Regions from separate parts of the Mus musculus genome. Here all the other regions are reported to be linked to region 1. Evidence: microRNA targets listed by miRTarBase, many of them from high-throughput screens and not tested one by one. Region 1 holds a microRNA gene; each other region holds the end of a gene's coding sequence.

Region 1 (5,000 bases):
GGTGAAACTTAAGATACTGAATAAATTTGTATATATGCCACTTGGTAGACAATTCTAAAGTTTTTTTTTTATAGGCAAATTGGGAATTAATAGGATTATTTCTAATTGTTAATGGATTAAGAAATCACAGACATCCTAAGATGCACCTGAGTTCTAGCTCTAGGTCTGCCCCTGACTTCTGGGGGATCTTATGCTGCCTGGCTTTCTTTCTTCCACACCCACCTTTAAGGTCACACAATTGTGAGCTCTACCTTAGCTCCCAAAATGACAGTATTATTAAATCTTAGATTCTTACCTCTAAGTTTCTATATCTGTCTTTCTCTGTATAAAAAACTGCAAGTTTTCCTGTGTCATGGACTTCTTTTGATAAAGCAATTAGGTGTGAAGAGACCAAATCATTTTGGCTGTGAAGCAGTAGGTATCCTAGTGGAAGAAAAGATTCCATGCTTTTAAGAGTAAGAAATGGTTTCTACTTAGTGTGTACGTGAGGCACGTAAGCATCTGGAAGGGAAAGTGAAGAAGTTAGTGTAGGTGAGAGGTGGCTTCAGAATCGCATTGGCTCTGAGGAATGTTTAGGCTTTAATTTTTATTTGAGAAATGTGAGCCTTATTTAAGGTAAATAATTCTCATTAAGAAATGAAATGGGAAAAAAAATGTTAGCTTTTGGAGAAGTTAATTACTTTCCTAGAACATTTTTTAAATTATGTTTCTGTTCTTTGAAAAGAAGTTTTTCTTGATCTGAAAAGTTAATAAGTTAACAAGATTGAAATTTAAGTATGATATATTTGAATTATGATTTGTTCATAATTTTGAGTTTTATAACTCAGTTCTCAAGTATAAAATTCTTGGGTAGAAAATCCTCAAGTATGAATTTCTTTTCTAGCAATCGCAGAACCTGTTTTTGCTGTGGTCAAAGCTGACTGATAGACTGTGGTTTAAGTCATCTTATTCAAAAATGTCTTCAACCCTGCTGGTCGAGACAAGAAATCTTTATGGGGTAGTTGGAGCTGAAAGCAGGTTAGGCATCTATTAAATGTCACAGAACAGGTTAGACTGTGCTTGAAGAAGTGGCTATTCTTCCATGTTTTAAATGAGCTTATGTGCTAAGTCTTCAAAAATGGGACTTGAAGTATCAAGTGAGGCTGTTTGGCTCTTTTAGAAACCCAAGGTGCATGCTATGTTATAAGGACAACCTTATCAAACAGTGCTTCACAAATGCACTAGTTCTGAAAATTAATACAAAGTTGGAAAAGTTAATATATACTTTCCTGTTTTCAAATTTACTATTTCGTTTACTTAAAAAAAAAAACCCCAAAATTTTAACTAATGATGATAGTATGTGTTAGTCATTAAAAACAGAATTTTGTGTATATCTTGGCCATCTATTTTTGTTAAAAATGAATTTTCCCAAGGAATTTGGCAAATGCACATTGATAAGTAATACATGATTTATATGTGTGTGTTCAATGCAAAAGGAAGAACTAAAGAGCCTCTTAAATCCTATTGCTGTAGCTTTTTAATAGCAAGTTTTCTCTTTTAACCATTTACTTACTATTTTATTAAATATTTTCCTAAATGGTTATCTTACCCCCATCCCCACCCCATATTAGTATTAAACTTTCTGAGTAGCACACTGAGAAGTCTTGAGTGTCTTGTAACTGAGTTACTCAGCGTAAACATTTTAAATTGCTTAGAGCCCTTCATCCTACCCAGATGTGTTAGTTCTGCAGAATTCCAAAGCCTAGTAACTCAGGCACAGCGTGGTTCAGAGTCCTGAATCAGCAGCGTGAACTGCGGCCTGCCGGGAGGCCCGGGAGGCCGGCCTCTGCCTTGTTTCTGTTTCTGCTTTCTCCCTCAGGTCTGCACCTGTTGAGCATTTGGCAGGATGGCAAGTGGAGGAGCAGCAGGGTGAAACTGACACAGTGCTGGTGAGTTTCACTTTGCTGCTCCTCCTGACTCCCAGGGAGAGTTCTGTTCTTTCTGTTGGCAAGCTTCTCCAAGTGAATCCTTGAGGTGCTGGTACTGCTTTAGGATTGACGCCACTGTTTGTATGTGTTCTACTTACCCCAGTCTGCAGCGGCTCTGTGTGTTGGAGTTGGGAGCTTTGCTGATCCAGATGACCTGCCTGGGCTGGCACACTTTTTGGAGCACAGTAAGATCTTGTAAAATATCATTCCTGGGTGTGGTTTCCTTTTTCCCTTTACATTTGTATTAATTGACTTCAAAGATTAGTAATTGGTTAACTGAAGTACATTTAAACAAAGAAAAAGCTAAGAAGAAAAATGCTGATTTAGGAATAACTATAGGGAAAGACTTTTCATCTAAGTATACTTATATTATGGATTTGAATGAAAAGCAGTATCTTCCTCAATCTGTACTTTATTCATTGAGGTAGGGTCTCAGTCAAACCCAGAGCTTGCCAGTATGCCTGGTTTGCCTATCCAGCTTGCTCTGGGGAGCCTCTGTCTCTGCCTTCTGAAATGAACTTTACATGGGTTCTAGGGATCTGAACCCTCTTCTCACATTTGTTCAGCAAGTGCTTTAACCACTGAGCCATCTTTCCAGCCCCAAACCTGTTTTACTGTAGACATCATTAGTTGGCTACAGTATGGCGAACAGAGCAAGATACAGTTGTTGCTCTCTAGGAACTGGCCAGCTCTGGTTGGACTAGTCTGCTTCAATGTTCATAGCACCCAGTGACATCAGAGTGTTGAAAATACAATCAAAAGGTGTGATTAATATGCCACAAAAGGAACCATAAGTTTAGCTATGAGTATGTCTCAGTGAAAACACGTGGACATTACACAGCTACAAATGCTTACACATGTGATGGCTTTCTGCATTAGTCATTTTTTAAAAATATTTTTAGCTTCTAGGTTATTTGAAAGTGAACCTCTTACTTGACACCTTTTTATGGTAGTTGTTAATCTGCACATAAGCTTATGTTTAAGTTTTACCCTTTTTATAAGCAAATTACTCACCTGTTTTTAAACATGAAACATTTGGGTTTTCTTGGATTAGAAATAATGTGAGCATTGTAGAATGATGCACAGCATCAATGTAAAAGTGTTAGACACAGCCATTGTTAACATGTGACTTTATCTTCTATGCATAGAGAAGTTCATCTTTGATAATAAAAGTTTCTGTCTATTTCTTTCTGTTGTGTGACATTTTATTCTTCCCATTTAGTGGTATTCATGGGTAGTTTGAAATACCCTGATGAGAATGGATTTGATGCCTTCCTCAAGAAACATGGAGGTAGTGATAATGCCTCAACTGATTGTGAACGCACAGTCTTTCAGTTTGATGTCCAGAGAAAGTATTTCAAGGAAGCCCTGGATAGGTAACTATTACTTAATGCCATTATACACATGGAAATACTGGGCACGTTCTGTTGTATTTCTCTAAAACCGTCAGAATATTGGGGAAGAAGGAGCAAACTGTTACATGTCTTCTTCCTTCCTCTCCCTGCCTCCACCCCCACCCCCCCTTTTTCTTTCTTTTTAAGACAAGGTCTTACTGTATATGCATGGCTGTCTTGAAAGTCACTATATACATTAAGGTGGTCTTTAAACTCACAGAGATCACCAGCCTTTGCCTCCTGAGTGCTGGGATTCGAGGCATGTGCACCCACACTGGCTCCACATCCTGTGTTTGAACTCTCAGGAGCCTAGTGCTCACTAGGTGTCTAGCCTGGCCAGCAAGCTCCCAGGCTCTTCCTGTCTCTGCTTCCCTCGTGTTGACATTAGAGTTGTATAGCTCAGTGCCAGGCTCTTACGTAGTGCTGGGGATTGAACCCAGGTCTCATTGTTATGTAACAATCACTCTATTGATTGAGCCATTTTCCCCAGCTCCTCCTCATTAAAATCCAAACGTGAAATTAAAAAGATTGCTTCTTTAATAATGGCATCTAAAATAAAATGCTTCAGAATAAACTCAAAGTCAAAGACTTGTAATAGTAGAAAGTTAAAAAATAAATAATAAGTAAAGAGTGGCAGAAGAAGCTGTGCCATGCGCCTGACTTGTTAAGAATGAGAGCATAGAGGACTTCTTCTTGTTAAGAATGACAACAATTTCCAAACTGATTTATGGATTCGTCCCAATCACTTCACAATTTTAGTTGTCCCTTTACATCTGTGAGTGATACCGTAATTCATATGGGAAAAGTAAAAAGCAAAAATAACCCAAGTTATATTTAAGAGCAAGTTGGACTCTCATTTCCCTAGACTTAGAGCTGTAGAAATCCCAGGAGTGTGGTTCTGACATAAGGACAGACAGACACTGCTCAGTGGACTATAACCCAGATTCTAGACACAAACCGTTACACTTGCTGTCAGTAGTCTGGTGCCAAGACAGCCAAGTAGGAGAGAAAAGATGGTTAGCTTTCTGCCAGAACAATAGGAGAGCCACGTGCGAAGATATGAACCACAGTTCTTTATTCAACTGTATAGAAAATTTAACTCTAATGGGGTTACAGGCTTAAATGTGAGAACAAAAATTGTGAAATTTTGAAGAAAGTGTCAGCCTTTGTGACCTTATTATATTTGGTGATAGTTATAACGTGGTGTTTGCAAAGAGACAAATAGAATAATAAGCCACAGAAATAGATCATATAAATAATAATAATGTCACAGAAATAGCATAAAGGTGGACACTTACACAAAAGGGCTTTCTATCGGAATGCTGCCAAGACAATTGAGGTTCCATGGATATAGGAATAAAGTTGACTCTGCCACTCAAAGATACACAAAAATGTTCCAGATAGATTGTAGACTAAAAAGTGAACAAAATAGCTAATTTTTTAAGCCACAATTTAGGTAAACTTTGTCAAATAAGATTAAGAAATAAGTAAACAAACAAACCAAAGAACATAAAGGAAATGGTATACATAAAAAGACCCTGGAGACCTGGCTCAGGGGTAACCCCAGGACCATTCTTTATTAACACACAGACACAGACACACACACACAGACACAGACACACACACACTCACAGTAAAC
Region 2 (5,202 bases), not on the chromosome of region 1:
GCTGTTGTTGTTATTTTATCTCCATGTATACAGTATCCTACTAGAATATAATAATACCCTAAAAGAAAATAATTCCTATTCATAAGAAAAGGGCCCATAATGTTTTTTTAAATTTTATTTTATTTTTAATTTATTATTTATACTCCATATTCATTCCCTGCTCCCTGCCCCATCCACTCTCCAACTACTCCACATACCACACCTCCACCCCACCCCACCCCACCCCATCTCCACGTGGATACCCCCACCCCCCCACTCCACCAGACCTCTAAACTCCCTGGGGCCTCCAGGCTCTTGAGGGTTAGGTGCATCATCTCTGAATGAACACAGACCCGGAAGTCCTCTACTGTATGTGTGTTGGGGGCCTCATATCAGCTGGTGTATGCTGTCTACTTTGTAGTACAGTGTTTGAGAGATCTTGGGGGTCCAGATTAATTGAGACTGCTGGTCCTCCTACAGGATCTCCCTTCTCCTCAACTTCTTTCAACCTTCCCTAATTCAACATCAGGGGTCCAGGAGGAAGGCAGGACATCAAGTGAGGGATGGAGTTGTCATCCCATAGTCACATCTTTGACCCATAATTGTTCCTGTCTGAAAGAACTGCAGGGATGGAAATGGAGAGGAGCCTGAGGAAAAAATGGTTCAGAGACAGGTGCAAAGTGGGGTCCCGCTCAAGGGTAAGTTCTAAGGCCTGACACTATTACTGAGGCTAAGGAGCGCTCACAAAGAGGGACCTAGCATGACTGCCCCCGACAGACCCAACAAGCAGCTGTAAGAGTCAGAGGCAGATATTTGCACCCAACCAATGGACAAAGGGGCTTACATCTTTAAGAAAAACTAAAGACCAGAAAATTCAATGAATCATCAATCAACTCCCCTTATATATCTAAGAGGATATTTTATAATTGATTAATTCAGATAATGTCTCATTGTATATCCCTGACTAGCCTGGAACTCACAGAAAGCCCCCTGCCTCTGACTCCAGAGTGCTGAAAGTAAAGAGTGCACCCCACCCCACACCCCAACTAAGAGTGTTTAAAATCACTTGTAATAAGAGAGTGAAACTTAAACACATTGGAAGAAATCTTTTGAAAATTAAGAGCAAAAAGCAAGAGGGTATGAATGTGAACAGACACACATGCATCCTCTTCTCCCATGTACAGATAGATTCTTACCTAAAATCGTATCAGTAATGAAAAGTGTAAGAAGCTATAGGAAAGCAGGTGAGGTGGGGGAGGGGCCATAACTTCCCCACTGCTTTTTTTGTGCAGTGTTCAGCAGGTGCTTGTTTCAAGACAGGACTGATTGAGCAAATGAAAATCTAGCGGAAGGGTCATCTTTAGAGTAGTTATCAGAAATGCTTAACCCATGCCAAGACAAACAAACAAGAAATGTGAAAGTAATACCACATAGATGACTTGATTTTCCTGTTCCCTCTGAAGTACTCACGAACCATAAAGCAGCCGAGGTTTGATGAAAGGAAAGAGGAAGAAAACTAAGGGCTGGAGAAATGGCTGGGTGGGCCAGAGTGTTTGCAAGAGGTTCTGAGTTGAAATCTCCAACCCCACTTAAAAGCTGGGAGTGACTGCAGGAACCTGTGACCCCAGTACTCAGAAAGCTCTTAAGGCAATACAGTGAAGAGCAATCGAGGAAGACACTTGAATGTCTTTCCCTAACCTCTGCTGTCTGTGGGCACATGTATATATAAACACACACACACACACACACACACACACACACACACACACACACACACACGCAGAGAGAGAGAGAGAGAGAGAGAGAGAGAGAGAGAGAGAGCGCTCAAGTCCATCCCTTAGGAGTGCCAAGTCCCATCTGTGGTTTCTGTTGTTTTGGGCAATGATGACTTAATCACCCAATCCTTTCTGTCCGCATTTGATCGTAAAAAGGTCGTCATAAATAAACACACATTATATTTACAGTTGATAAAAACAATCTCTCATACCCATTAGTACCCCCAAGTCAGGATTTACTAAAAAACCTCTCCTGCTTGCCTAAGATAAGCAATAATAATGTTTATTAATTCATACAATAAGTGTTTATTAATTCATATAATAAGATAAGCAAAAATAATAAGTGTTTATTAATTCATACCCCCTTTTCCACAAAGGAAATTCTGAACGAATGTAATAACAGAAAGCAACTTCACTTGATACCTATTGTACTCTGCCATTTCCTGTGCATGTGTCTTTTTAGATAGCCATTGTTATCTTCCTCTAAAACGAAACCATCCCCTTCTTGGATTGTATCTTTAGGTAAACACTATTTAATCCTGCCTTATTCATCTGTGACCTAACATGTTCTCCTTAGATATGGAAGCAGCAAGAAGCATTAATTCCCTGGCCTGAAATATAGTCCCTATTCATTCTTAACTGAATAAACTGAAAAATCAAAAATAATAAGTAACAGAAATATGTAAATATATAAATGAACCGGAGCCCGGGCTTAAGAATACTTCCGAAGTTTCCATCTGAAATCCATTAAATTATACAGCAAAATGTAAAACTCAAATTAGTATCTTCAACACACACACACCACACACACCCCCAGAACACACTATGTACCATAGGGAAAGGGTAACTATGAACACACACACACCACACACACCCCCAGAACACACTATGTACCATAGGGAAAGGGTAGCTATGAAGAACTGTCTCTATTGCAGTGGCTTCCTGGAATTGCTAATGGCACGGGGTCTGGCATTAGAAACAGATTGATATTCACCCTTAGGAGGTGTGTGACCTTGACCGGCTGTGAAATGTTAACAACAATACAATATTGACACGTACTCCCGCCAGGCTGCAATTAAGATTAAGTGAAATAATGAGGGTACCACTTCTCAATTGCTGGACATTTGATAACTAACATCCAGGCATCTTAAAGGGAAGGAGGAAGATGAGGGAAAATGAAACAAAAGGCTTCGAGAAGACGGTGGTTGAGAGATGACTGATGGGGAAGTCCTTTACAATAAAATTTTAATTAGAAAAATACACAGTGACGCAGAAAGAAATACATTAATGTCTCTCTTCAGGACCCAAGGAGGCTTTTGGATGCAGGGTGGAAAGAAATGTTCTTCAATGTTCTTCCAGTGATTTTGGCATCTTGACCCTGTCTTACTGTAGTGGCTGCAAATCAGACAGGTCTAGACATCTGACCACTTCTGGACATAATTCTATTCACTGAGCAGGTAAGAAGTAAGACACCAGCTCTAAGCCTTTATCGCCTCTTTGTGTCAAAAACTGAATTGTATTTAGGAACAGAACCTATGAAAGATACCTTAAGAGCTGAACACTGGAAGGCTGACTGTGACATAGGTAGGGAGGCCTCTGTGGTTAGAGCAAGTTCCAGGCCAGTCAGAGGTATATACTGAGGTTCTGTTTCAAATGAAAGAATAAACAAACAAACAAATAAGTTGAGCTACAGTATTCGGTTGTTTTATTTTATTTTTCCAATAAAGAGCCCCTTTACATAGAGCTTTCATGAGAAATTAACATGGCCATTGATTCCTGTCCAACCGAATGCCCTAGGAGTCACTTCCCGCCTCACCCTCTCCAGAGGATTTCCCTTGGGAATTAAACACAAACAACTCCCCGGATTTTGATTAGTCTTGAATACACTCCTACCTTGTAAATCAGTAAACAAAGCTGGATGTAGAAAACATCCAAGTGTTATCTATCAGTAGTCCTGCACAAGCCCAGCAGGCGCAGCCTGGAGACCGAGGCCGCAGACCTGTTTACCACACTCCCTGCTTCAGTGGACTCTTACGTGGTGGAGGCACGGAGGGGGAAGCCCCTCTGTGCAAACTGCATTCACTTCATAGAAAAGCAGCTTTCTTCTTTCTCGCTGGATCAGCAGAAAACAGACACACACACACACACACACACACACACACACACACACACACACACACACAGCCAATAATATAGTTCATTTTCTTTTGATGCTAAAAGCGCATCAGAATTGCAAGGCCTTTCCTTATTGAAATAAAAGGAGCTACAAATGTGGTATATTACTAGGTCAGTACTGATGGTTAAATTCCCTCAGAATTGGCCCTTAATCAAAAGATTATTTTGTTACAACCTAGTGCACTTGCATGCCAAAAATACAATTTAGAGTTCACAGTACAAGGCTTTCTGGTATAAAGTGCCTACGAGAAGTTTCCTATCATATATGGTCGCCACAGAACTTCCCTGGAGGACAGACCCGTTGTTGATATACACCGTTGTCACTGATGGCTTCTCGGATAGAATGTTCTGAATGCGGAGGACCTACCCAGGAGATACAACATATTAATAAAGAACCCACACACCCATACCACTCAAGCACCAATAATCCCTTGCGCTCACCAATGACACATGATTAAGAAGGCATGCTGCTACAAACAGCAGTTACCAATCTCCTTAATGCTTAAATTAAAGTACTTCCTCCAACATTCAAAAAAAAACGGACTTTTTAAAGCAACTAGTCAGCCATGCCAACACAGGATTTTGTGTGATTACAGCAATTCAACATTAATAGAAATGGGCTCCCACCACTGTGCCCGCTTTGACACTATTTCACTGGGCACAAAGCTCATGTCATGTGCTGAGCTGACAATAAACAAGGTCGTTTTAAGATTGCCAGCATACCACATGAAAGTGAACAGGACCTGTGTCTTTGTAAAAATTACTTTTGACTAGTTCCCACTATAATTTAATACATCAAAAGATTACTTTTCTGAAAGCATTTGAGCAATGTAACATTCTGCCAATTATTGGCTTAAAGCAATTATAAAACTACCTCCCAGGTTTATTGTATTATTGGTTTAAAAGAACTAACAAATCATCCCCGTGACAGTTTATTCCATTATTAGTGCAAAGGACTTGAACAATTAAGGTGGAAAAACTCAAAATATAAGAACCTCTGATGCAGGAGGATGGTTCGGGTGGTACACGAAGAGCCTCTGTCCATTAGGGTGACAGCCGACCCAGATGTCGCCCGAGGAAGGATCAATAGATAAATTGTCCACCAGCGTGCCCAACTGCAGAACCTTAGGAAGAAATCATGTCAATATCTAAATGATGCAAGCAACCTGATTAAGTAATTTAGAGCAAGCCTTTCCTGCTTTGGTGCGTGTGGGGCCATTACATGCATCTCCCTGCACCTGCCCTTCTGACACCAATATCGTTTAAAATAAAT
Region 3 (5,202 bases), not on the chromosome of region 1:
CCATCTCTCCAGCCCTAGGTTTATTTATATACTTATTATTTTTTGGTTTTTCGAGACAGGGTTTCTCTCTGTAGCCCTGGCTGTCCTGGAACTCACTCTGTAGACCAGGCTGGCCTCAAACTCAGAAATCTGCCTGCCTCTGCCTCCCCGGTGCTGGGATTAAAGGCGTGTGCCACCACAGTCCGACTTGGTAACAGTAATATTAAAAGTTTGGTGTTTTGAGATCTTTAAATTTCTAATGTTTGTGACGTTTGTGTCAGAGAGAGAGCGAGAGCATGACATGGCACAGACAACTTTTAAGAGTTCAAGACTGGGTTCTCTCCTTCTACATCCGCTTGGGTATGCTTGGGAATTGAACTCAGGTGACAGTCTGGTGACAGGTACCTTTACTCTCTGAACTTCCTCCCCCCACTACCCTGTCCTGTTTTAAATCTTTTTCTTTTTGGTTTTTTTTTTTTTTTTTTTTTTTTTTTTGGGTTTTTCGAGACAGGGTTTCTCTGTGTAGCCCTGGCTGTCCTGGCACTCACTTTGTAGACCAGGCTGGCCTCGAACTCAGAAATCTGCCTGCCTCTGCCTCCCGAGTGCTGGGATTAAAGGCGTGCGCCACCACGCCTGGCTTAAATCTTTTTCTTAAAAAGATTTATTATTACATGTAAGTATATTGAAGCTTTAGACACATCAGAAGAGGGCATCAGGGTCAAGACAGGGCTTCTCTGTATAGCCCTGGTTGTCCTGGAACTCACTTTGTAGACCAGGCTAGGCTGGCCTTGAACTCAGAAATCCCCCTGCCTCTGCCTCCCAAGTGCTGGGATTAAAGGCATGCGCCACCACGCCCGGCTTTCCATTTTGAATCTTAACTGTGCTCAGGAAATAGCAAAACTACACATTACTGTCATTAAGAACTATGATTTTTGAGCCAGGCATGGTGGCATATGCCTGTGATCACTTGAGAAATAGGGAGGAGGTGAGGAGTTCGAGGCCACTCTCAGCTTGCTATTGAATTAGGGACCAGCCTGGGCTACGTGAGACCTTGTCTCAAAGCACCACCTCTCCTTAAAACAAAATGCATTCCACAGTTCCCGCTGTAAGACAAAGTACAAGGGAAACAGGTCAACTGTGTTATCTTTTCAGAGCTTCGTTGTAGCTTCTTACTTCCTGGGCAGGGACGGGTGGGGCCGCATCTTTCCAGCACTTCAGCCAGCAAAGGCAATGAATAAAACGCATTTTGAAGGGCAAACCCTGTCTACCAGCTCTCCCCTGCCACTCAATCTAACCATAATTACCTGGCTTCGGGTGACACGCTCTAAAGTCTGTGTTACAACCCCGATCCCTGACACTTGTGTGACAGGGGCTGGCAGGACAGCAACTTCCAGGCCAGGTTGTGGAGGTCATAGAATCTTTAAATATTGACACTGGGAAGGCCTTTGAGCTAAGCCCAGGACTCTGAAAGACCTGAGGGAAGCTCCAGGAGTTGCTACCTGTGATGGTTTATATATGCTTATCCCAGGGAGTGGCACTATTAGAAGGTGTGTCCCTGTTGGAGTAGGTGTCAGGGTGTGGGCTTTAAGACCCTCATTCTACCTGCCTGGAAGTCAGAGTTCTGCTAGCAGCCTTCAGATGACGATACAGAACTCTCAGCTCCTGCCTGCCTGGATGCTGCCATGTTCCTGCTTTGATGATAATGGACTGAACCTCTGAATCTGTCAGCCAGCCCCAATCAAATGTTATCATTTATAAGACTTGCGGTGGTCATGGTGTCTGTTCACAGCAGTAAAATCCTAATTAAAACACCATCTGTCACAAGTTTTGCTCTCCCCGGGATGAAAGCTATCGCAGTGGCCGGTGTTGAGACTTGGAAGCATGGTTTACAAGCAGTGAGACAAAGTGGGTGAGAGTGGAGACTACCACATCAGGATCTGGCCAAGGGACCAGGGTCCTGCTCACCAGGGTGAGCAGAGATCACCTCACAGAACTGCATGGTCAACCAGAGGAGAGGTGTCTGATGGCTTGACCCAGGCTGTAACCCAAGGCCAGTTTCTGGCAGGGAAGCAAGTGTCCCAAACCCTCAGAACTCTTCTATAAATAACATGATGTCTTGGGGGAAGCCTCATCTTTCACTGTGTAGACCTAGGCCCCGCACCACCTAAAGAGCGCTCTCCTCACCCGGAGGCCAGAGGCTACACTGTGTACCTTGAGCTCTGAAGGCTTGATATACCACAGGACAGGTCCTAATGGCCCCAGCCACAGCTGCCTGAGGCTGATGGCTTCTTTGTGATGTACAGTCCCTGGTAAGTCAGCGATGAGAAACCCCAAGAGCAAAGAGGCAGACAGAGGGTATCTATATCACTTTGTCCTTTTCTACTTTATTACTTCAAATTAACAACCACAATAAAGCTCAAAAAAGTCCAATATTTACACAGGAAAAAAGTACAAAATTCCCCCCAAAGTTCTTCAGTAATTTTTTTTTCAGTTTTTTAAATTACAAAGTAATAAAAAGTTTTGCTCTTTAATTAAAAAAAAGAAAGAAAGGGGAAAAAAAGAGGTAAATAAATTAGGAAATACACACACTGAGAAAACAAACAAAAATAATAATAATAATAATAATAAAAAAACCAACAAAACAGGTGTTAACCAGGAAGGGTAAATTCAACACTTAGCCCTGACCCAGGGTCCTACTCAGAAGTCAGGCCTGGGAAGAGGGGTGACCACAGGTGACTCTCAGGACCAGGGAAGTAACCGGTATCTCAGAGCCGATGCCATCTGGGAGCAGACTCCAAGAACTTGCCTAAGATCAGGAATGGAAGTTGGGGGGGGAGGGGTGCCACACACTGGCATCTGGGGACAGGTGGTGGCAAGGACTCTATGCCCTGAGGGATGTGGAAGTCATTGTCCACCCCACCTTGACTTTAGGAGGAGGGGAACAGAAACTTGGCCAGGCAGGCGTGGCAGGCCACCTGCAGCTCTGAAAAATACAAGTCAGCAGTCTCTCAGTCAGTCTCTCAGTCAGTCTCTCAGTCTCTCTCTCTCTCTCAGTCTCTCTCTCTCTCTCTCTCTCTCTCTCTCTCTCTCTCTCATGCATACACACACACACTCACAGTCACACAAGGCATCATGGCCTCCATCTCACCGCACCCTCAGGGTCTCTGTAGAGAGGTGACAGGTGTGTGTGGGGGAGACCAGGATGCTCAGGGAAGGGGATTCTGGGAAAGCCCCATACAACACTGGTCACTGTCATCACCCAAGGGCTGATGGCGTGTGTGTCATCCAAGGCTCCATGAAATCTCTTGGGACTTGTCTCTGACTGGCCAAACCGCTCCCTGACACAAGCTCTTCAGGCACCTCCGATGGCGGCCCGGCACGTGGTGGCCGGTGGCGAGAACAGGTGGCTGGCATGTGACCCAGTGTCCTTAGAGGAGTGTTGGCAGCCTTCAGGTCGGGAGCAGTGGGCAAGGCAAGGGAACAAGAATCCTCAGTGCTAACGAGGTCTTGTCTTTTTGCCATTGGCAAAATAAATCAAAGAAACAAAATCCATTGTCGACTTTGTGCTGGGTTGTGGGTTTTGTGGTTTGTTTGTTTTTCTCTTTTTTGTTCATGTGAACTGTTCTTTCTTTCTGTCCTTTCTCTTATTTGTATTTAATTTTTTTTTTTTTAAAGAAAATGCAGTGAAGACACTAGGAGGGAAGAAAAGACAACGGTCAGGTGCCTGGCTGCCTCGGTTTACCCAGCCAATGCGCTCCTCTGCTCTGGTGGGCTGAGCGGCCATCCCAGCCCCATGTCTATCTGAACTGATTAGCCATTTGTTGGGAGAATTTCTGCAGTGTGAAGTCTGCTTAAGAAACCACGGTGTGAAGCTGCACGTCTCAATGGGTGGGACACTGCCTGCTAATATCCATGTTCTGCAGGGAGCTTGGGTCCCCAGCCAATACTACCAGAAGAGCCTGTGGCCCCTTTCCCAAACCAGGCTTCTAGGTACTGCCCCCCAAGCCACAGACAGCCGCAGGCAGTCCACCCCGAACTAGCTTTGGCCAGAGGGTCTTTCCTGTGTATAAACACATGAAGGCCCTTCTACACTCTGGTTCCTTTTTGGCTCTGCACATATCATCTTATATAACAGCCAAAAGGAGGAGGTAGGCTAAAGCCCTGGAAACCCACATGTGGCCAGGAGCCTGGTCTTTCCTAGGAATCAAGGGGACAGAAGACCCAAGGACAGAAAAAGGGTTTCCCCGAAGTGTCCCTGTGTACCGATTCAGGACTGCTTGTGAGAAGTGATAGCTTGGATGGCAGATTTTAAAATCTAAAGCTTCCTTGAAGAGATTAGAAGGGGAGGTTCCTGCTTCTGCGTCACGTTCCCCTGCCCTCCAGGGCCCTCAGTAGACACCAGTACTCACCTAAGCAAACACTGGTCTGTGGTCGCTCTCCTCATTTCCCAAGATGGTCAAATGGCACGCTTGTCTTCAAGAGGGGGACAGAGAAATATGGGGGAGTCTCAAGGCAGGTCCTTAAGCAGGTGGCCACAATGATTCCCCAAGTCTCATACACCCCCCCCCCCAATGGAGCTCCATCCCTCACAGCAGGCTGCTCAGTCTGAGGGCAGCTGTGTGATCTCAGGTCTGAGGCTGCCCCTGGCTCTAGAGCCGAAACACCCCCGCTTGGAGGCCAAGGCTGGCTCAATTCCAGGTCTGAGTCCAAGGAAGTTCGTCTCCCACAGGCAGGATCGGGTAGATCTACCTTTGCCAAGCCCCTTCCTCTACATTCTGAGTCCGAATATGGCCATTAAGTGGGATGACCTGACAAGACCTCTCCCTCCTCCCGCTTCATCCCTTGCTGTTGTCAGTGCTGATGGGAACTGCCGAGAGTCGCCCACCCAGACCGCAGTGAGTGCTAGCGCTTACTGGGCTGTTATTTCTTTGAGCCTCAGTTTCTCCCTTCGCTTTGCTCAACACAAGAGGGCTAATTAGCTTCAGGGTGATCAGAGGCAGGGGAGGAAAGGTGCCACAGGGTCAGACCAACACACCAAGAATATCTAGGTCCACTGTGCCCCCGAGAGGCCTGGAAGAGTTGACTCACCTGTGAGGCTGCAAGCCGGGAGACCTCTTGCCGCCCAGTGAGGTCTGAGGAGGAGACATTGGCAGGGGCACCTCTGTGGAGTCTCATGCTCACCTTCCTCTCTCGGTCGGCCCGTGAGATCGCTCTGGGAGAAGT
Region 4 (5,202 bases), not on the chromosome of region 1:
CAGTGGCTCTTAAATGATGTCTGATATGCACAATTCGAGTGTTTTTTATTCTCAGCATGTGGTACAAAGTCTGTCTGGAGCCATCTCTTCAGCTATTGACAGGCAGATTAGAAATGGTTCAGGATGCTTTTCATTATTCTATTCCTCCCCAAGCCAGCCAGCCACTCCAACGACTTCCCACACACTCCCCTCAAAGCCCACTTGGTGCATGTGTGCCTTAAGCATCCTTTTTCTCTTACAGTGTGGTGCTCATCTCGGGCACATTTTTGACGATGGACCTCGTCCGACCGGCAAAAGATACTGCATCAACTCAGCATCCTTGTCCTTCACTCCTGCAGACAGCAGTGAGGCAGAAGGAAGCGGCATCAAAGAGAGCGGCAGCCCAGCAGCAGCAGACAGAGCTGAGCTGTAAAATCAGGGGTAGCGGTGAAAACAAAGTGTTCTTAATGCACAACTGATTGAAAAAAACCAAAAAGTGGTTTATCTTAACAGAGCTATTTTTTCAGAAGCTATAAGGGCAGTTTATGCTGCTGAAAATGTTTCTCTCTCTCTCTCTCTCTCTCTCTCTCTCTTTCTCTCTCTCTCGTCTAGATGGCAGTTCTGCCCATCCATGTATTTTGCTGTTGACTAGGTCCAGAACTGTGTGTAGCTCTTGCAAACGGAGATGGCTTTGTGGAGCTTCTTGGTAAGCTTCTATGTAGCCTTGGCATCATTTTCTTCCAATGCATACCTTCCTTCAAGTTTTGTCCTTGTAGGTACCCTCCTTTTGATTAAGAGGTGGAGGTTGTGTAGTGACATCATAGAGCTGGTGCTCAGCAGCAGAGAGGAGAACTGGCAAGGACAGAGCATCTAGACATGTGGCCTTTGCGATAAAGATGGAGTGTTGTGTTAGATTGCTAGGCTGCGATAACGATGGAGCGCTGCGTTAGATTGCTAGGCTGCACGGAAAGTCTGAGCTAAGGTTGTTTTTTCTCACTCGAAGGGTGTGAAGGTCTGAAGTCGTTCCTTATGTTACATTGTTGCCAGATGTGAGAGGACTCAGGGAAGGTTGCCGCAGAGATGCAAAACATTACCTCTGGGCAGGTCTTTATTTTATATTTTCCACTGAAAACAGCAGAATGTAAGACAAGTGTAAAATACTAGGCTCCATTTTTTTTTTTTTTTTGTCCAAAGTTCACAAAGAAGAATGCTTGCCCATTGCCTCTGCATAAGCCTTTCTCTGCATGCCTCATGTGAACTCCATCTGGACGAGCATTTTAGAAGATTTCCCCCGTGCAAAATAAAATATTAGGGACAACACACTTCATCAGTAGGAAAGAGAGAGATCAGAGAAGACCTAGTATGAAGTCTTGAGCACTAAATAATCCCATGCTGTGCAAAAAGGCCAACAGGATCTCACAGGTACTGCACCTAAACCAGACTTTCACATAGCATCAGAAGGTCGGAGCAAGGATGTCGGGGATTAAGACAGAATAGTCAGGCCCAAGGTCCACACTTCACTGTGTGTACAAGGGACAAGCCATTTAGCCCCATTGTGCCTATATCTTCGTGTACACAATAGGACTCATATCTTTATAAAATATATTGATACTCTCAGGGCAACATTACTATATTGCTGTACAATTAATAAGATCAGTATTTTAAAATCACACTGATCCGGTTGTAATTGCACAGAGCAGGCCAAATTTGCAATGGAAGAAGCAGAGGTGCACTTGGCTGGTTGGTATGGAAACAGCCGAAAGCCAGACCTTTATCTTGTAGCAATATGGCAGGTGTCTCAGTAGTGAGCGTTGTGGTTTTTGAATGCTAATCCTGAAATGTGGCTTTAAAAGACGCTTAGACTTCTAAATTTTTTGAGGAAGACTGGCATCTGCCCCTCGTACTCAGTAATGATGATGAGAACAGGCGAGTGACAGTTGCAGACACAGTGGGAAGCAATAAAAGCCGGGGCAAGCAAGCTGAGACTACCCATATCCAGCAGCTCTGCCTTTCTCAGGTACCTCCTGAAGGTCCTGCCATCCTGCCGAGTCTTCAGTATCACCCAGTTCTAGAGACGTCTGTGCTTTTAACTTGGAACACACAGGAAAATTACCTAAGCACTGGGGTCCCCCCAGCTCCAGATGTTTACCCCAAGCTCAGGGCTACTCTGCACACCCCGGGCTTCATTCTTCTCTAGAAACATGGGGAGAGTCCCGGGTGAGGCTTCCAGACTTCCATAAAGTTTTCACATCATCTCGAAGGATTCCATGTAGGGTGGCTAAGGACAGACGTGGGTCTCACGGGATATTGTCACAGCTTGGCATCCATCCTTCGGAGACACACACAGCCCTTTCTGCCCACTCCCATCTGTGTGGTGGCCTTCCCAGGGTCCCTTGGATATAAGCCAGAGTGTTGGAGTAGACAAAGAAGATAAATAAGGAGGTTCTCACTCCACAGAGATGCTAGGTTGTTTTACTCTTCCTTCATTTTTCTCATACTATAGTACTAACCACACACACACACACACACACACACACACCAATAACGAAAATTTTGTTTCCCTTTAACTTTTACTGTTTTGTTTTGTAACAAAAGCCATCTTTTTCCAGCACCAACTTATATATATAATCCTATATATATATATATATATATATATATATATATAATCCTATATATATATATGTGTGTATATATATATATATATCATCCATTGAAATAAAAAAAGGAAAAAGAAAGAAAATGAGTACATACAATTTAATTCCAGATTTCTTTTTGGGGGGCTTAAGTGGCATCAAATTTTGGTATATTTCTGTCTTATGTTAAAGAAATATATTGCTAAAATGTCAGGGAGCGCTAATGTCAGCTGTCAAGGACTAGATTTACTTTCGCAGGATATGGAGCTCAGTGAGCTGAGGTGGTGAGGTGTATGTGATCTGTGGGAATTCTGCCATTTAACACAGGAGGTTGCACGGTCTTCCTTGTCAACACCCCAGCTCTGACTGCACCGTTGGGCCATGCAGAGATGGGCTAGTAGGCAGGAACCACGTCCCTATGAGTGCACAGAACAGATCGGAAGGAAGCAGCAACATCCAATGTATTTCTGAGTATTTAAACTCTTCACTTCTTTTATATATGTAAAATCTTAATGCAAATGACGTAGCTGTTGGAACAAAGACTCTCCATGTTGTTTAAAATGTCTTGCTTTCAATACAGAAAAAAATACCAATGAGAATTAGTACCATGTGCTGGGGGTGTGTATGATGCTTGATCTAGAAAGCTTTTTAATAACTTTTCTTCTGATAGTTTAAAACTTTTGAAAAGTGACAAGAAACCTTCATTGAGAAGCCTTTTTCGATATTTGTTGTATACAGAAATTCGGTAATAAAGTTTCTTTATAAAAATGTCTCTCTTCTCTGCTTCCTAAAGACCAACCGTGCTCTCTAGCGTGGCTTCCCACCACAAACAGACAGTGTAGAGCGACTTCCCCTACAGAGCTGGCCTGTCCTTAGTGCCCAAGGAGGCTCTCCTTTGCTCTAGCCTTTGGAACTTGGACATCCCGTGTAATGAAAGGGCCTCTGAGACTCCTCCAGACCAAAGGACAGGAGGACAGGGACACTTCTTCAGTCGCCACCTCACCACAGCAGAATCTTCAACAGTTCCTGTGTGTGTGTTGTGCTAAAACTATGCTTCAGAGATTCTCACTGTAACTGCAGGTGTGAGACTGCAGGCCTGTGACGTGGTTGGTGCCTAGGCTCTGCTAAAAAGTCTGGTGTGAAACTTACACAAACGTCAAGGGTTGGTCTCTAGAGAAAGAGACATAGAGATTGCCACTGCTCATTACTTTTTAAAATAACAAGTCACATTTTTTATTGGTTATCTTATTTATTTACTTTTCAGGTATTATCTCCCTTCCTGGTTCCTCTCCCCCCCTTTTTTTTAAACCTTAAAACTCATCTCTATAAATGGGGCACAGTGGCTCATTCTGTAATCCCAGAATTTGAGACACTGAGCCAGGAGAGTCACTGTGAGTTTAAGGCCACCCTGGACTACCTAGTGAGGTCCCATGTAGCCTAGGCTACAGTTGAGACCCTGTCTTTGAAATCCAAAACAAAATAAAACTTCATCTACAGTTGGATCTTGGTATGATACTATCTGTGGTTGAATTGTTTGGGTTTTACTGACCTATTTATTTGAGGGAGAAGCAGGACTGCTGGAGACTCGTTTTTTCAGTTGGTTCTCTAAGTCACATTCCTGGGATCCCAAGTACTGACCAGCAGTTTCATGCAGGGCCTTTTATGAAACGCACACACATATATACACACATATAAAGTCTTACTTACTATTCTATCGCTGTGAAGAAACACTAAGACCAATGCATCTTATAAAAGAAATAATTTAATTGGGGGCTTGCTTACATTTTCTGAAGTTTAGTCCATGATCAGCATGGCAGAAAGCATGATGGCAGGCAGGCATTCAACTAGAGCCATAGTTACTATCTACCTCCTGACTGCAAGCAGCCAGTCATGGGTGGAGGTGCAAGTGTGGGCCTTTTTTGAAACCTCAAAGCCCACCTGCAGAACACACCTCCTCAAACAAGGACATACCTCCTAATTCCTTCCTTCCTGAACAGTCCACCAACTGAGAAACAAGCATTCAAATATATGAGTCTTTGGGAGCCATTCTCATTCAAACTTCCACATATAACATGTACATCTATCTCATCATCTATAGAAACTTTTAACATTTCCCATGTTTCAGTAGTAAAGTGACTTTTGGACAATACTAGTATCCAACAAAGTTTGAATTTACAAGTTGTTCACGGGGCAGTCTCAAAGGCATCCTTATTCATTGGTTCTTGAATTCATCAAAGTGGATTGATAGTCCACCATTTTAACAAGGGGCTTGAAGATGTACCACGTGCTACCAAAGAATTTTCTGACAAGAACTCTGTCCTTTCTCATCCAGATGCTGGTCTTGTCCTAGGCTGACCTTGAGAAACAACAGCTTGACAATGACTACCATCTACTACTTGGTGTAGATCAAGCAGCTGTGAGGCCTCCCAACCTGAAATACCAGAAAGGTTATCATGTGACCATGGAAAAGTCTGGAACGATTGTGAGTCAAAGTCACAGACACCTGGCAGTTGGAAATGGTCTCTCCCCCCCACCCCCACCCCCGCCCCCAAGTGGACAGAGTTCTGCCTGCCTCTGCCTCTCATGTTCT

Evidence for each region. The annotated mature microRNA mmu-miR-761 reads GCAGCAGGGUGAAACUGACACA and lies in region 1 at 1,901-1,922, shown strand. An mRNA with a match to its seed (bases 2 to 7 or 8) in the 3' UTR can be bound and repressed. Matches are read on the target gene's strand: a 7mer-m8 pairs with bases 2 to 8, a 7mer-A1 pairs with bases 2 to 7 and ends in A, and an 8mer does both.
Region 2: miRTarBase lists Pon2 as a target of mmu-miR-761. Seed matches in the 3' UTR shown: 7mer-A1 at 3,873-3,879 and 7mer-m8 at 3,720-3,726.
Region 3: the mRNA of Csnk1e is a reported target of mmu-miR-761. Seed matches in the 3' UTR shown: 7mer-A1 at 2,977-2,983.
Region 4: miRTarBase lists Msrb3 as a target of mmu-miR-761. Seed matches in the 3' UTR shown: 7mer-A1 at 528-534.

The regions. Positions count from the first base shown.
Region 1 is chr4:109,015,769-109,020,768 of GRCm38, forward strand. Mir761 (microRNA 761) reads left to right here and starts at 1,887; the gene lies at 1,887-1,962. Nrd1 (nardilysin, N-arginine dibasic convertase, NRD convertase 1) reads left to right here. Exons shown (of 31, transcript NM_146150.3): 3 at 2,071-2,152; 4 at 3,190-3,343.
Region 2 is chr6:5,261,188-5,266,389 of GRCm38, forward strand. It overlaps Pon2 (paraoxonase 2), which reads right to left. Exons shown (of 9, transcript NM_183308.3): 8 at 4,925-5,053; 9 at 3,433-4,292. The coding sequence ends at 4,134. Among named protein-coding and RNA genes, the nearest start is that of Pon3, 7.6 kb to the left of the region's middle.
Region 3 is chr15:79,415,517-79,420,718 of GRCm38, forward strand. Csnk1e (casein kinase 1, epsilon) reads right to left here. Exons shown (of 11, transcript NM_013767.6): 9 at 5,068-5,202; 10 at 4,389-4,452; 11 at 2,336-3,671. The coding sequence ends at 4,420. Among named protein-coding and RNA genes, the nearest start is that of Gm16059, 8.4 kb to the right of the region's middle.
Region 4 is chr10:120,779,278-120,784,479 of GRCm38, reverse strand. It overlaps Msrb3 (methionine sulfoxide reductase B3), which reads left to right. Exons shown (of 7, transcript NM_177092.4): 7 at 242-3,380. The coding sequence ends at 412. Among named protein-coding and RNA genes, the nearest start is that of 4921513I03Rik, 16 kb to the right of the region's middle.